Kluyveromyces lactis: one gene and its partner. The protein of the gene in region 2 interacts with the protein of the main gene of each other region in a pairwise test. Links are inferred from orthologs where the notes say so. Each region holds a gene or a part of one and is shown on either strand. Other genes may lie near its edges.

Region 1 (5,096 bases), on a different chromosome or scaffold from region 2:
CTTACCCTTTGAATCACAAAATGCAACGTACGAAGCCATTATACTGGTATCTTTTTAAGAAATGTTGCCTCCTGAAACTCCACCAAAGAAAGAGCAAAAAACACACTAGTGATACTGCACAATTGGTTACTATACAGGGTCCTATACCGATATATTAGTGTACGGTTTGGCTATTACTTAGATTGTTCATTGTTCAGACACTATTTATAAATGTAGTTTCGAGATTTCAATGCTTTGGATACCGAAATTTCACTTATTTACAGCGGTACACCACATACACGAGGTGCTAAATTGCATCTAACAATGCGAACACTCGGCAAGAGAGACCTTCAACCATGAAGTGTGTCATATACCCATTCAAATTGGACATTGGACGAGATCTGGTCTCTGTCAAACATCCGGGCCTTTTCAATCTTGAGCACGGGGACCATTCGAAGTCCAGGAAAATCCTGATTGAACCATAATTTGCACTCTCTGTGGTTCCAAAACTGTAGGGTTACATTGCCGATGACGAACAACGTATTCAGTGTATTCAATGTGATCCTATCATTGTTTATAGTTTCGTAATCTAGCACGCAGTCTACAGTGAAGTAGCATAGAATTAATGCTGTAGAGTCTCTAATCGTTGCATAAACGGTGTAATCGTTTACTCTATGGAATTTAACAATTCTGACGAACCTCTGAGGTGCGGGATTCAAAGCCGTTTGGAAAGCTGACTCTATGATATCATGTTCTAGTAAGTCCGTTACCAGTTCACGTTGTTCTGGCCAGAATTTCGTCTTTTCATTCTTTAAATAATAAGGCCTTACCGAAGGTTTAATCCATTCCTGCAAGAACACTGAATCATTATTCGTTAATCTTGAAGAAAGTACAACATTGGGCATGTGAGGATTGATAAGGTTAGAGTCTCTGTTCAGTGTATGTTAATAATGCTTCTCTGTTTCTGTACTACAATGGGTTTTAGGATGAGATTGTACCTTGATACAAAAATGTAAAAAAATTCCTCCGCGACGGGGAATTGAACCCCGATCTCGCACGCGACAAGCGCGAATTCTAACCATTAAACTATCGCGGAATAGTAAATTCGATGAGAGTTTATTGGACAAAATCATAATCCACGTGGCAAAAGTAGTCATGTGACTAGCTATGCAAAAATGTTAAAAAATGAAACGGACAGGAATTGAACCTGCAACCCTTCGATTGCAATTTTGTTTCCTTGGAAAATTCCCAGAATTTAACTGGAGTCGAAAGCTCTACCATTGAGCCACCGCTTCATTCTTGAAACATTTACGACAAGAATAGAATATAACCGACTTACTTTTGTCATGTAAAAGGGGCCACAGATGACACAATAGGTTCTGGTAAATATGCTTTACCCACGAGCATGGCCATAATAGAAGAAACATGGGAATGCCTTTGGAAGCTTTTGTTCATGTTTCATTATTGAAATAAATATCGGTATATCTCATTGATTTATATATATATATATATAGTTCAGATATGATGGCGTTTATTTCCATACCGCATGGGTAGATCAATTGGCAGCTGAATTGACAGTGAAGTTCTTTGCCCTATCAAGACCGTTTATACAAGATAACAACGCCAAGAATGAAGCCAGAGTAGTATCCTCATGAATACCAACACCCCATTGAACAAATCCTTCATGAGAGACAGAGATATAAGTAGCAGCTCTCGAATCGGAACTCTTACCCAAGGAATGCTCATGATAGTTTTTCACATCAAGATTAGTTTTGAAGTTTTTATTCACAGCATCGATGAAAGAAGAGATTGGACCGTTACCAGTACCTTCCAAATCCCATTGAGTAGTTCCATCTGATAGCTGCACCGAAAGAGTGAAATTCTCCGGAGATTTGTCATATTTATAGTCGATAAACTTGAATTTACCAGTAGTTGAATGAGATCCAACGAAATACGATTTCTCGAATAAAGAGATTAGTTCATCGCTCTTCAACTCTCTACCGACTATCTCAGTTTCATTTTGAACGATCTTAGAGTATGCAATTTGTAGATCTCTTGGTAAATCTAGCTCCAAGTTCTTTAGGATAACCCAAGAAGAACCACCTTTACCTGATTGCGAGTTGACTCTGATGATAGCCTCATACGTTCTTCCAATATCCTGAGGATCCAAGGGGAGATATGGCATTTTCCAAGGTACCACTGCATCTGGACCCTCTTTTTCTTGTAAAGCCTTAACCTTGTTGTCGTATTTTTCGAAACCCTTTTTGATGGCATCTTGATGAGAACCACTGAATGCACAAACGACAAGTTGTCCTCCGTAGGGTGCTCTAGCATGCACGGGAATCTTATTACATTTCTCAACGACTTCAATAATAGAAGCCATATCGGAGAAATCGAGGTTTGGAGATACACCCTGTGTGTAGAGGTTTAATGCCAAGGTAACCAAATCAACGTTACCGGTACGTTCACCGTTACCGAAGAGACATCCCTCGACACGATCTGCACCAGCCATTTGAGCTAATTCTGCAGCTGCCACAGCACACCCACGATCGTTATGTGGATGGAGAGAGATACATACTTTCTCACGTTCGGAGATACTTTGAGCGAAATATTCGATTTGGTCAGCGTACACGTTTGGTGTAGCCATCTCGACGGTAGCTGGCAAATTGAAAATGATTGGATTATCTTCAGTGGGTCCCCAAGCAGCCTTAACAGCTTCACAAATCTCTAGAACGAAATCCGGTTCACTATCGCTGAACGTTTCTGGAGAAAACTCAAATGACCAATGGGTATCTTGTCTATCCGGATGGTCTTTTGTCAAGGACCTAACAAGTTTGGCACATTTCACAGCCTTTTCAATACTTTCTTCATGAGACATATTGTTGAAAACGATTTCTCTGAAACATGGTGATGTCGCGAGATAGATATGTACAATGGCTCTCTTGGCACCGACCAAAGATTCAACGGTACGTTCGATCAAGGGTTCACGACATGGAGAAAGAACTTGAATGGAAACGTCTTCTGGTACGTTTTTCACTGCATATTGAGTGAATTGGAAATCGATATTAGAAGCACTAGGGAAAGCAACTTCAATCTCTTTGAAACCCAATTCGCATAACTTATCGAGCATCAGTTTCTTCTCTTCCAAATTCATCGGGTCAGGTAAAGACTGATTCCCATCTCTTAAATCGGTAGCTAACCATCTTGGAGCCTTATTAAGGGTTTTACTAGGCCATTTCCTGTCCTGTAATTTGACGTTGCTAACGAATGGTTTATACTTCACTGAAGGATCTTTGTAGAATGGCATCTTGCTCTAATGACTCTTTACTTCTCTATGTGCCTGATGGGTTTTCCTTTTTAATTACCAACCAAATTAAGGTGGTATGAATGATTTCAAGTTTTGAATGTATGTATATATATATGAATCAATGTTAGCAACACATCATCAGCTTTTTTTTATTACTCATAATGCACTTGGCAAATCGTTGATTAACCTGATGACATTTTCTTTCCCTTTGCAGCTTGACTGACTCATTTACCCTGGTCATCCATAATCAAAGTCTAAGAAATATCAACCGGTTTGCAGGTACGCTCATCTGCAGAGGTCTGTCTGTGTTACTCAGCAATTTTCTCGATGCCTTTAAAAATTTTTCAGAGTCATCACCATAGTATGGAAGAAGGGAACGGAACGGAGCTGGAAGTGACAGAGAAATCGATGGAAGAATGGACAATTTGTTGGAGAGGGAATGCCATTTTTGTGTGAGGTGTATATCCTGCGGTTGGGTAACTAACTATACGGTATAGTTGGTACTTTAGTTTTATTTGGTATACTCGGTCCCGTGACTTCTAAAGGAAAGCTATGAATGAGCAGAAAAATGGGAAAAAATGAGAAAAAAATAAAGCACTCACGGTGGGGGTCGAACCCACAATCTTCTGATTAGAAGTCAGACGCGTTGCCATTACGCCACGCGAGCATATTAATTGTTATTGAAGAGAATTTGGGGATTGGTGTACCGATCGACCTGACAAAGTCATTTCCACCCGATTTTTTTTTTTTGTGAGTTTTCCCTCTCAGCAGAAACCAAGGACCCAAGAAATATAATGATGAGCTTTGACATGTCACTACTGAGATACTGATTAAACATCACATACAGGTCAAGGTCAAACTAGGACATATCAGATAAATTAATCCACAATGGTCAGAGTTATTATTGAATTTCTAGGTGGATTGGATGTTATTGTCAAGAAACAGAGACAATATAAAGTGGATGTTCAACTGGATGGGAAGGATGAGATCAATGTCGGAGATTTAATCCAATGGATCGTAGATAACCTTATTGAACATGAAGGTGACGTGAATGTTTTCTTAGAGAACGATAGTATCAGACCAGGAATTTTGACTTTGATCAACGATACCGATTGGGAACTTGAAGGTGAAAAAGAGTACGTATTGGAAGACGGTGACGTTGTTTCGTTCACCTCAACGCTACACGGTGGATGATCTGGAAAAACTGCCGAGATGTTGAATATATATGCATTATATGCTGTCCTCTCATTCAAATTTGTATTATCCTGCATCCTAGTAACCCTGCGCCTTGCCAGGACCTAGGTACCAACTGTATAGTAACGATATCATTATTTCTCTTTATCTTAAGTACGATCTCTTCATCTATACGAGTTTGAACAAGTTTACCGATATTGGATAGATTATTGTGGTTAAGGGCATGTACGGTGCCGAATTTAATGATAAGATCATCTGTTTGTAATCCTGCGTCATGACTTGGAGATCCTAATTTTACGTCCACCACTTTTGCAAAAGCGATCAAAGAATCTAGATTTAGATCTGAATCCTCGTTGCTATCTCCCATTTCAAGCGTCTGCATCTTTCCTACAGTTGCGTTTTGCTTATTAAGCGATTCAAATTCAAGTGGCAATAGATACTCGACTCTTTCGATGATTCGTCTCAAATCGTTTCTCAATACGTTTACGTTACGTTTAATTAACCGTATAGTGACTAGATCCAAATCACCGCGGGGAAACCCCTCAGCGGTAGTCAAGGGGGTATTCATATCAACTTTGTGGGCTGATAAATTATCGAACTGGTTCGTCAATTCATC
Region 2 (7,177 bases):
TAGGGGAGCCGCTATATTCAACGATAGTTTGTCAAAGATATTATTGTTGAGAGGTATCAATTCAAAACACTGGTCTTTCCCACGAGGTAAAATTGGTAAAGATGAAGATGACGTCGCATGCTGCATAAGGGAAGTTAAAGAGGAGACCGGCTTCGATTTAACCGGATTCATTGATGCTGATCAATACGTTGAACGGAACATGAATGGTAAAAACTTTAAAATCTTTCTCGTGAAAGGTGTACCTGAAGACTTTGAGTTTAAACCAGAACACAAAAATGAAATTCAAGCCATTGAATGGAAAGATTTCAAAAAATTGAGCAAGGCAATCACCAAGAATGAAGGCAGTGCCAAAGTTTTCTTGGTCAATTCCATGATTAGACCGTTGTCCTTATACGTTAAAAACGAAAAGAGGGCCAAGGATGAAAATAAATTGAAATTATACGCCGAGGAACATTTGAAATCCATTTTAGGATTGAATAAGAAGGAGAACAAGATCGTGCTTGACGCAGGTCGTGAGTTGATGGAAATGCTACAAAAATCTGCAAAAACAGCTCAACATCAAGCCAGAAACGAGACATATGTTGCGGAAAACCCTGTGGTTGATGTGAATCAAGCTCGTAGCTTGTTTCCACTTATGTCCGTCCAATCTGTTTCTCACTTTTCTTCCAGTAATAACACCAATAATAACATTGTCAATGGTACCGGTATGACGATAAATACCACTGGAAATAATAAATTGGACCACGAAAAATCGTATTCTACGGAACAAAATACTGATTTACAAGCCTCTAGCAAAGAACTACTGGCATTTTTACACAAAAGTTCTACTGTCAATGACAAGGAAAGACAAATTTCAGGCAGTGATAGCGTTTCGTCATTCCCATCTGCTCATTTCACGGAGTTCACTGATGATGAAAACTACGAGGAATTCGAAAGTTCATCTGACGAAAGTCAATACGAAAGCTCTCAAGAACAACTTGGTCATTCTGACACGGAATGGGACCCCAACAGAGATGATGAGTTATTAACAGTGAAAGAACCCAAAAGTGTGAAAGAAACACAACCTTCAAAACCTGTCAAACCTGAAACAAAGCAAGGTGCCACAAACAATCAAAAACCTATACTTTTGAAACGTCCGGAATCTCAAAATAAGGCTAATAATATTGAATCTCAAACCGTGAAGCCAAAAATCAGATTATTGAGGCGTGGTGACACATTGGCATCAGCCACACAGTCTCCCTCCAATGAATCTATTAAAGCAGTCTCTGAGAAACGAAACGATACAGAAACCACTTCAAACAAAAATGCAGCCAACGACTTATTGTCAATCTTGAAGAAGCCATCAGAGGACCAACCAAAGATAAACGATTCAGAGACACATTCAAACAGAAGTGTAGCCAATGATTTATTGTCCATATTGAAGAAACCATCGAGATCAGAAGTACCAGGCGCCGCTTCGTCTCCTTTATTCACTAATACCTTTGAGAATAGTCAAAGTAGTAGTTCGAACGCTTCAGTGGAACATCATACTTCTTCCAATAACGACCGTAATGGTTCTAATTTTTCAAAGCAGTTTACTGCCTCACCTGCACTAAACGAACCATCTCCTAAAAATGATGCAAGCGACTTAATGCAACTACTGAAAAGACCACAACAGAACAGTGAACCTCAAAGTCCAATATCAGACCTTTCTCCAGCAAGCAAACCCTCAAATGAATTGCTTAATATATTGAAGAATCCCAAGACCGGCCTAAACTCGCAAATATCGGACGATCCTGTGACACACAACACCCAATACAATAGGATGCCTCCTCTGCAAGTACAGCCTCAACAGCCTTTCCAAATGCAGCAAATGCAGCAAATGATGCCACCTCCAGGTTATCCTCCCCAAAATATGTCATATATTCCCCAAGGCTTCTCTCCTCAGCAGCAATTCCAATATCAGCAACCGATTAATGGATATCCTATGCAACCTCAGCCACTTAACATGGGACAACCTGCACCAAACCAAGGTTTTACTAAACAGCAAGAACTTTTGAATATATTACACAAGCCAAATGCTCCTGTTCAAGAAACTCCTTCCAACCCTTCATCTGAATTATTGAGTATCTTGAAAAGATGAGACATTACAGCATTTCGCAATTTCACTTACATATATTTATATATGAGACTTTTCATCTAAGGAATATTTTGATAGTTCAGCTGTATAATTGAAAGAGCTAAATCTATTATTGTTCAGAATCATCTGATGGGATTTCATACTCTTGAAGAACCGCTGTTAGTTCTGCTTTATCATCTCTTCGTATCCACTCTAACTTTCTATCTTTCATGCCAGTTAGAGTGGTAATACAACCGTAACACACGCCTACATTCTTGGCAGGAGTATCACTCATTTTGTTTAGTTTTTCGGCTTTGTCTGGATTAGCTGCCTCCCAGGCATTGTAGTTGGTCAGTTCTTCCTCATTATGAATCACAAATGGCTTGCTAACTGTGATACCGTCAAGCCAATTTACTGGATTCTTATAAATAATGGCATTGCAAATACTACAGTGCATGATTTGATTTAGTTCATTATCAGGGTTAGATAATTTTGCACCTGTTCTAACAACTGTAGATATCACGTTTGAGTAATCACCTTCAATGTTATCAAAATACTGTCTCGCGAGTTCATTCATCGTCATATTTTTGATAAGTTTGACATTTTTGGTAGGCTTGTCCACAAATTTGTCATAAAACAAAGTGTCCTGGACAACATAATTATGAGAGAATTGCGAAAGCCCTTTTATATGACAGTAAGCATCAATTTCTGACAGTAAAACGTCCCGGCCTGGATGAAAGTTTCTGAAGGCGGTATTATATTTACTATCGAGGGAAGAATCATCAAGATAACCTGCGATTTCTGCACCACGTCCTTTAACAGTCAGACTAATGACTTCATCAGCTAACTTTGTCATCGAGTGACCCCATAAGATGGCTTTGAAATTTCTTTGTAAGGCAAATTTCTTAATCAAATGGGTATAAATAATGTTCAAAAGATCTTCTTTCGCTGTTTTGTTAGGCGCGCTGGCAAGCACTTTCTCTACAGTAGTACTTGGATTATTTGATGATCTTACCAGAGTGTTGAAGTTATCAATGTACAGTGTAATTTCTTGCAGATCAAACGGCACGGCAAAGAATTGATTTCTGTCAACAATATGGAACAGAATCTTATCGGAGTTTTCTTTATATTTTGATTTCAGAAGTTCAATCTTACCGCGCACTTCTTCAAACTCTGCCTGTCCACAAATCGTGATTACTTCTACGTGAAATCCAGTTTTTCCCCGGTGTGTTTGTTTCTGCTCCAACAAAGTATCGTTCAAGATATCTAAAACTGCCAAAGAAGAGGATCCCAAAGAAAGCGGCACGAGAACATTGGAATCTTGATTTTGCTTATCAGCTTCTGCCTGACCACGTTTCTTATCTGGATATGAGATTTTGAATATATCTTGGAAGTAGTCATCAGACATCATCTGCTTCCTCTGTTTCAAAGAAATAAATTTCACGAAACATTCATCACAAAATGGTTCTTTTCTCGAGACTAGAGTTGCATCCAGCAGCTTACACCTTTTACAAATGACCATGATAGTTGGACGCAGCGATAAGGTTTGCAAGCACGTATTAACAGGCTTTTATTTGATTCAGTGACTAGTTACTATTAAGAGATGAGATGAGATGAGATTGATTTTCTTTTTTTTTTTTTTTTATTTTCATTTCACTGTGGTTGTTAACATGAAATTTCAATCTAGAAATTTTGGAGTTCTGAAAACCATAGTAAAATATTGAAATGTTAAAATGAATCCAGATGAACTAGTAGCAGATGAGTTACTGGTAAAGGGGAAAATAAAAAAAAGGCTCAAGCTAGCAACTTACTGCCTTACTAACAACAAATGACCGATAAACAAGAAACAACACAACCAGCTGAAAAGCTGCAACAGCCTGAAAAGGTGGCAGAGAACGTCGACCCCAGTCTCGAACTCAATAAGACTAAGGTCAATTTTACACCGGAAAAGACTGATGTCAACACCTACAAGTTCTATCCTGATGATCCAGAATCTACGTTGAACAGATACAGATTTGCAGTGAAAGGTGCTTCTGAATACTACGACCCATGCCAGGAATCATCTAAAATGTCTTTCAAGTGCCTTGAATTAAACAACTACGACAGAGACCTATGCCATGACTATTTCGACGCTTACAGAGAGTGTAAAAAGCAGTGGTTGAAGGCCAGAAGAGAGAAAAGAGAATTTTGGGAATAATTCAACCACATCTGCATGTAAATAGCGTACTTAATGAGAAGTAACTTTCTAATCAATAGCATGAATTATTTATTGATAATGAGCATGATCCTCCATTCCCATATTGAACGACATAAGCTAACAAACGGAACCTGAATAAACAAAAAAAGAAAATAATAACACAAGTTGAAAGTACAGATCACGTGACATAAAGGAATTGATATTACCCGTCTTTCCGAATATTCTCCATTGCTCCTAACTATTGGAATCCGACTCGCGCTCCCTCCAAAACATGGTTTCGGACCCCACATGTAAAGATTTCGACCCAAAAAATATTCCAGATCCCAAACCGAAAAAAAAAAAAATGCAGCTTCCCATTCCGATCAAACACAAATACGGATTATTACGAGCAGCATCAGAGATTCCCATAGGTAAGAAGTTTCCGTAATCGAAAAAAAAAGTAGAAAAGTGCAAAATTAATTATGATATATAAAAAGTTTTGTAAACATTGAGCTATTGTATGGAACAGGACGAACGAAAGCCTCAGGAAATAACACTCAGTAGTAAGCATCAATAGGATCTAGCAGATTTTCATTGATTGAGATATAGGATTTAGTGAAAGAAATTTAGAATCATATCAAGACGCTTTATTTTGGTTTGTTGAATACTGAAAGGAAAAAAGGAAAATGTCGGATAATTCTGTGAGTTCATTTGTGACTCGTAACAAGACCGCCATCTTGGCAACTGCTGCTGCCGGTGGTGCTGCTATTGGTGCTTATTATTATTATAACCAATTGCAGAGGGCAGAATTGGGTTCTGGTTCCAGTGGTAGTAAGAAGACTTCCAAGAGTGAAAAGAAGAAGAGGGCCGGGAAGAAGAAGAAGGATTCGTCTTCTTCATCAAACGGTTCTGATGTCGTTTATCCAGTAGACGCTAACGGTCAACCAGATTTGTCTAAGAAGGATGAGTTTACTCCAGAACAAGTTGACAAATATGCTTTGGCGTTGAAGGACAAGGGTAATGAATTCTTTAAGGCCAAGGATTTCGAAAAGGCTATTGAATATTATACCTTAGCTATTTCATTGAAAGAGGATCCAGTGTTTTACTCCAACAGATCTGCTGCATACGTCTCAATTAACAATTTCGAAAAAGTTGTTGAAGATACCACTGCCGCTTTGAAATTGAAGCCTGATTACTCCAAATGTTGGTTGAGAAGAGCTAGTGCTTATGAAAACTTGGGCCAATTCTCCGATGCTATGTTTGACTTGTCGGCTGTCTCTTTGTTGGGTGAATACAGCGGTCAATCCGTGGAGCAACTGCTGGAAAGAAACATGAACAAACAAGCCACAAAGGTCTTGGGTGAAAAATTGAAGGAGAACCAGGGTAAAGAATCTCCATTACCATCTAACACCTCTTTGGCATCATTCTTCGGTATCTTCAACCCTGAAACTTCTTTCGATGATTACGATGGCGAAAATGAAGCAGATGTTGAGTTGAAAAAAGGTTTGGAAAACTTGTACAAATGTCAAACCGGATGTTACGAATTGGCTGATGAAGAATTCACCAAGGCTGCCGAGTTATACAAGAAAGAATTAGAATCTTCTCCAGATAATGAATCTTTGAAGAAGAAGGCTGCCATCGCCTTCGAACATGTGGGTATTTTCAAGTTCTTCAAAAATGATCCAATTACCGCGCATATTAACCTGGAAGAATCGTTGTCTTTGAACCCAAGACCTTCTACTTACATCTACATGGCTTTGATTATGGCTGACAAGGGTGAAGCCAACCAATACAAGGAATACTTTGACAAAGCTTTAGAATTAGATCCAAACTGCTCTGCTGTTTACTATCATCGCGGTCAAATGCATTTTGTTGTTGAAAACTTCAAAGAAGCTGGTGCCGATTTCGATAAGGCTAAGGAATTAAATCCAGAAAACATTTTTGCCTACATCCAATGTGCTTGCTTGGCTTTCCGTGACGATAGATTTGATGATTGTGAAACTTTGTTCAGCGAAGCCAGAAGAAAGTTCCCAACTGCTCCAGAAGTTCCAAACTTTTATGCCGAAATTTTGGCTGCTAAGAACTCTCTAGATGCTGCCATCAAGCAATACGATATTGCCATCAAGTTGGAAGATGCTTTACCAGGTATTCACGTCGGTATTGCTCCAATGATTGGTAAGGCCACTGCTTTGATTAGAAACCCAACCGTTGAAAACTTCGTTGAAGCTTCCGAATTATTTGAAGAAGCTTGTAAGATCGATCCAAGATCCGAACAAGCCAAGATCGGTCTTGCTCAACTAAAATTGCAACAAGAAGAAATTGATGATGCCATTCAATTGTTCGAAGATGCTGCCGATCTCTCAAGATCTTTCGATGAAAAACTACAAGCTACTACTTTCGCTGAGGCTACCAAGGTCCAGAAAAAGATCAGAGCTGATCCATTCATTAAGGGTAAGATCGACGAAGCTATTGCAGCCTACCGTGCTCAAGGTCTCGCGTAAATTAGCATGATATTCACGAATGAATTTAATTCATTTCAATATGAGTAAAGCTACAATAGCTCATTGTTTTTGTCTCACCTTAATGACCATAATGGCAACATACCATGCAACATCTAAACGAATGAATTACCAAGAAAGTTATGATTTTACAAACAAAAAGTTGTAGCATTTCACCCAAGTTATTTATGACTCGTAAGCAGCGTGAACTGTGTTAATCGTAAACGACAAGATCTCAACATTACAACGTGAAGAATAAGAAATAGTTATCAATTCTTCACAAAAACAAGACAAAAAGAAACACAGAAGAACAAGAATACGAGAACAACGCTTTTCAATAACAGCTCATTGCAAAATATGTGCTCCTAAATACCCCTGGTTCAAAAACATCATCTTCTACCATTT

What was found.
Region 1: the proteins of NCS2 (region 2) and URM1 interact in binary tests that used the Saccharomyces cerevisiae proteins (3 or more experiments, as listed by UniProt). The link is inferred for Kluyveromyces lactis from reciprocal best matches to the Saccharomyces cerevisiae genes NCS2 and URM1.

Annotation. Positions count from the first base shown.
Region 1 is NC_006040.1:1,211,517-1,216,612, reverse strand, and holds URM1 (ubiquitin-related modifier URM1), read left to right. Parts: upstream 1-4,174; coding exon 4,175-4,480; downstream 4,481-5,096. Other genes in the region: APM1 (Apm1p), read right to left, coding at 1-39; telomerase subunit EST3, read right to left, coding at 330-884; KLLA0_D14201g (2-isopropylmalate synthase), read right to left, coding at 1,535-3,286; NAS2 (Nas2p), read right to left, coding at 4,536-5,096.
Region 2 is NC_006042.1:2,235,494-2,242,670, forward strand, and holds NCS2 (Ncs2p), read right to left. Parts: upstream 3,621-7,177; coding exon 2,229-3,620; downstream 1-2,228. Other genes in the region: DCP2 (decapping enzyme complex catalytic subunit), read left to right, coding at 1-2,122; COX23 (Cox23p), read left to right, coding at 3,927-4,295; protein channel TOM70, read left to right, coding at 4,961-6,775. UniProt on the Saccharomyces cerevisiae protein: Plays a central role in 2-thiolation of mcm(5)S(2)U at tRNA wobble positions of tRNA(Lys), tRNA(Glu) and tRNA(Gln). May act by forming a heterodimer with NCS6 that ligates sulfur from thiocarboxylated URM1 onto the uridine of tRNAs at wobble position.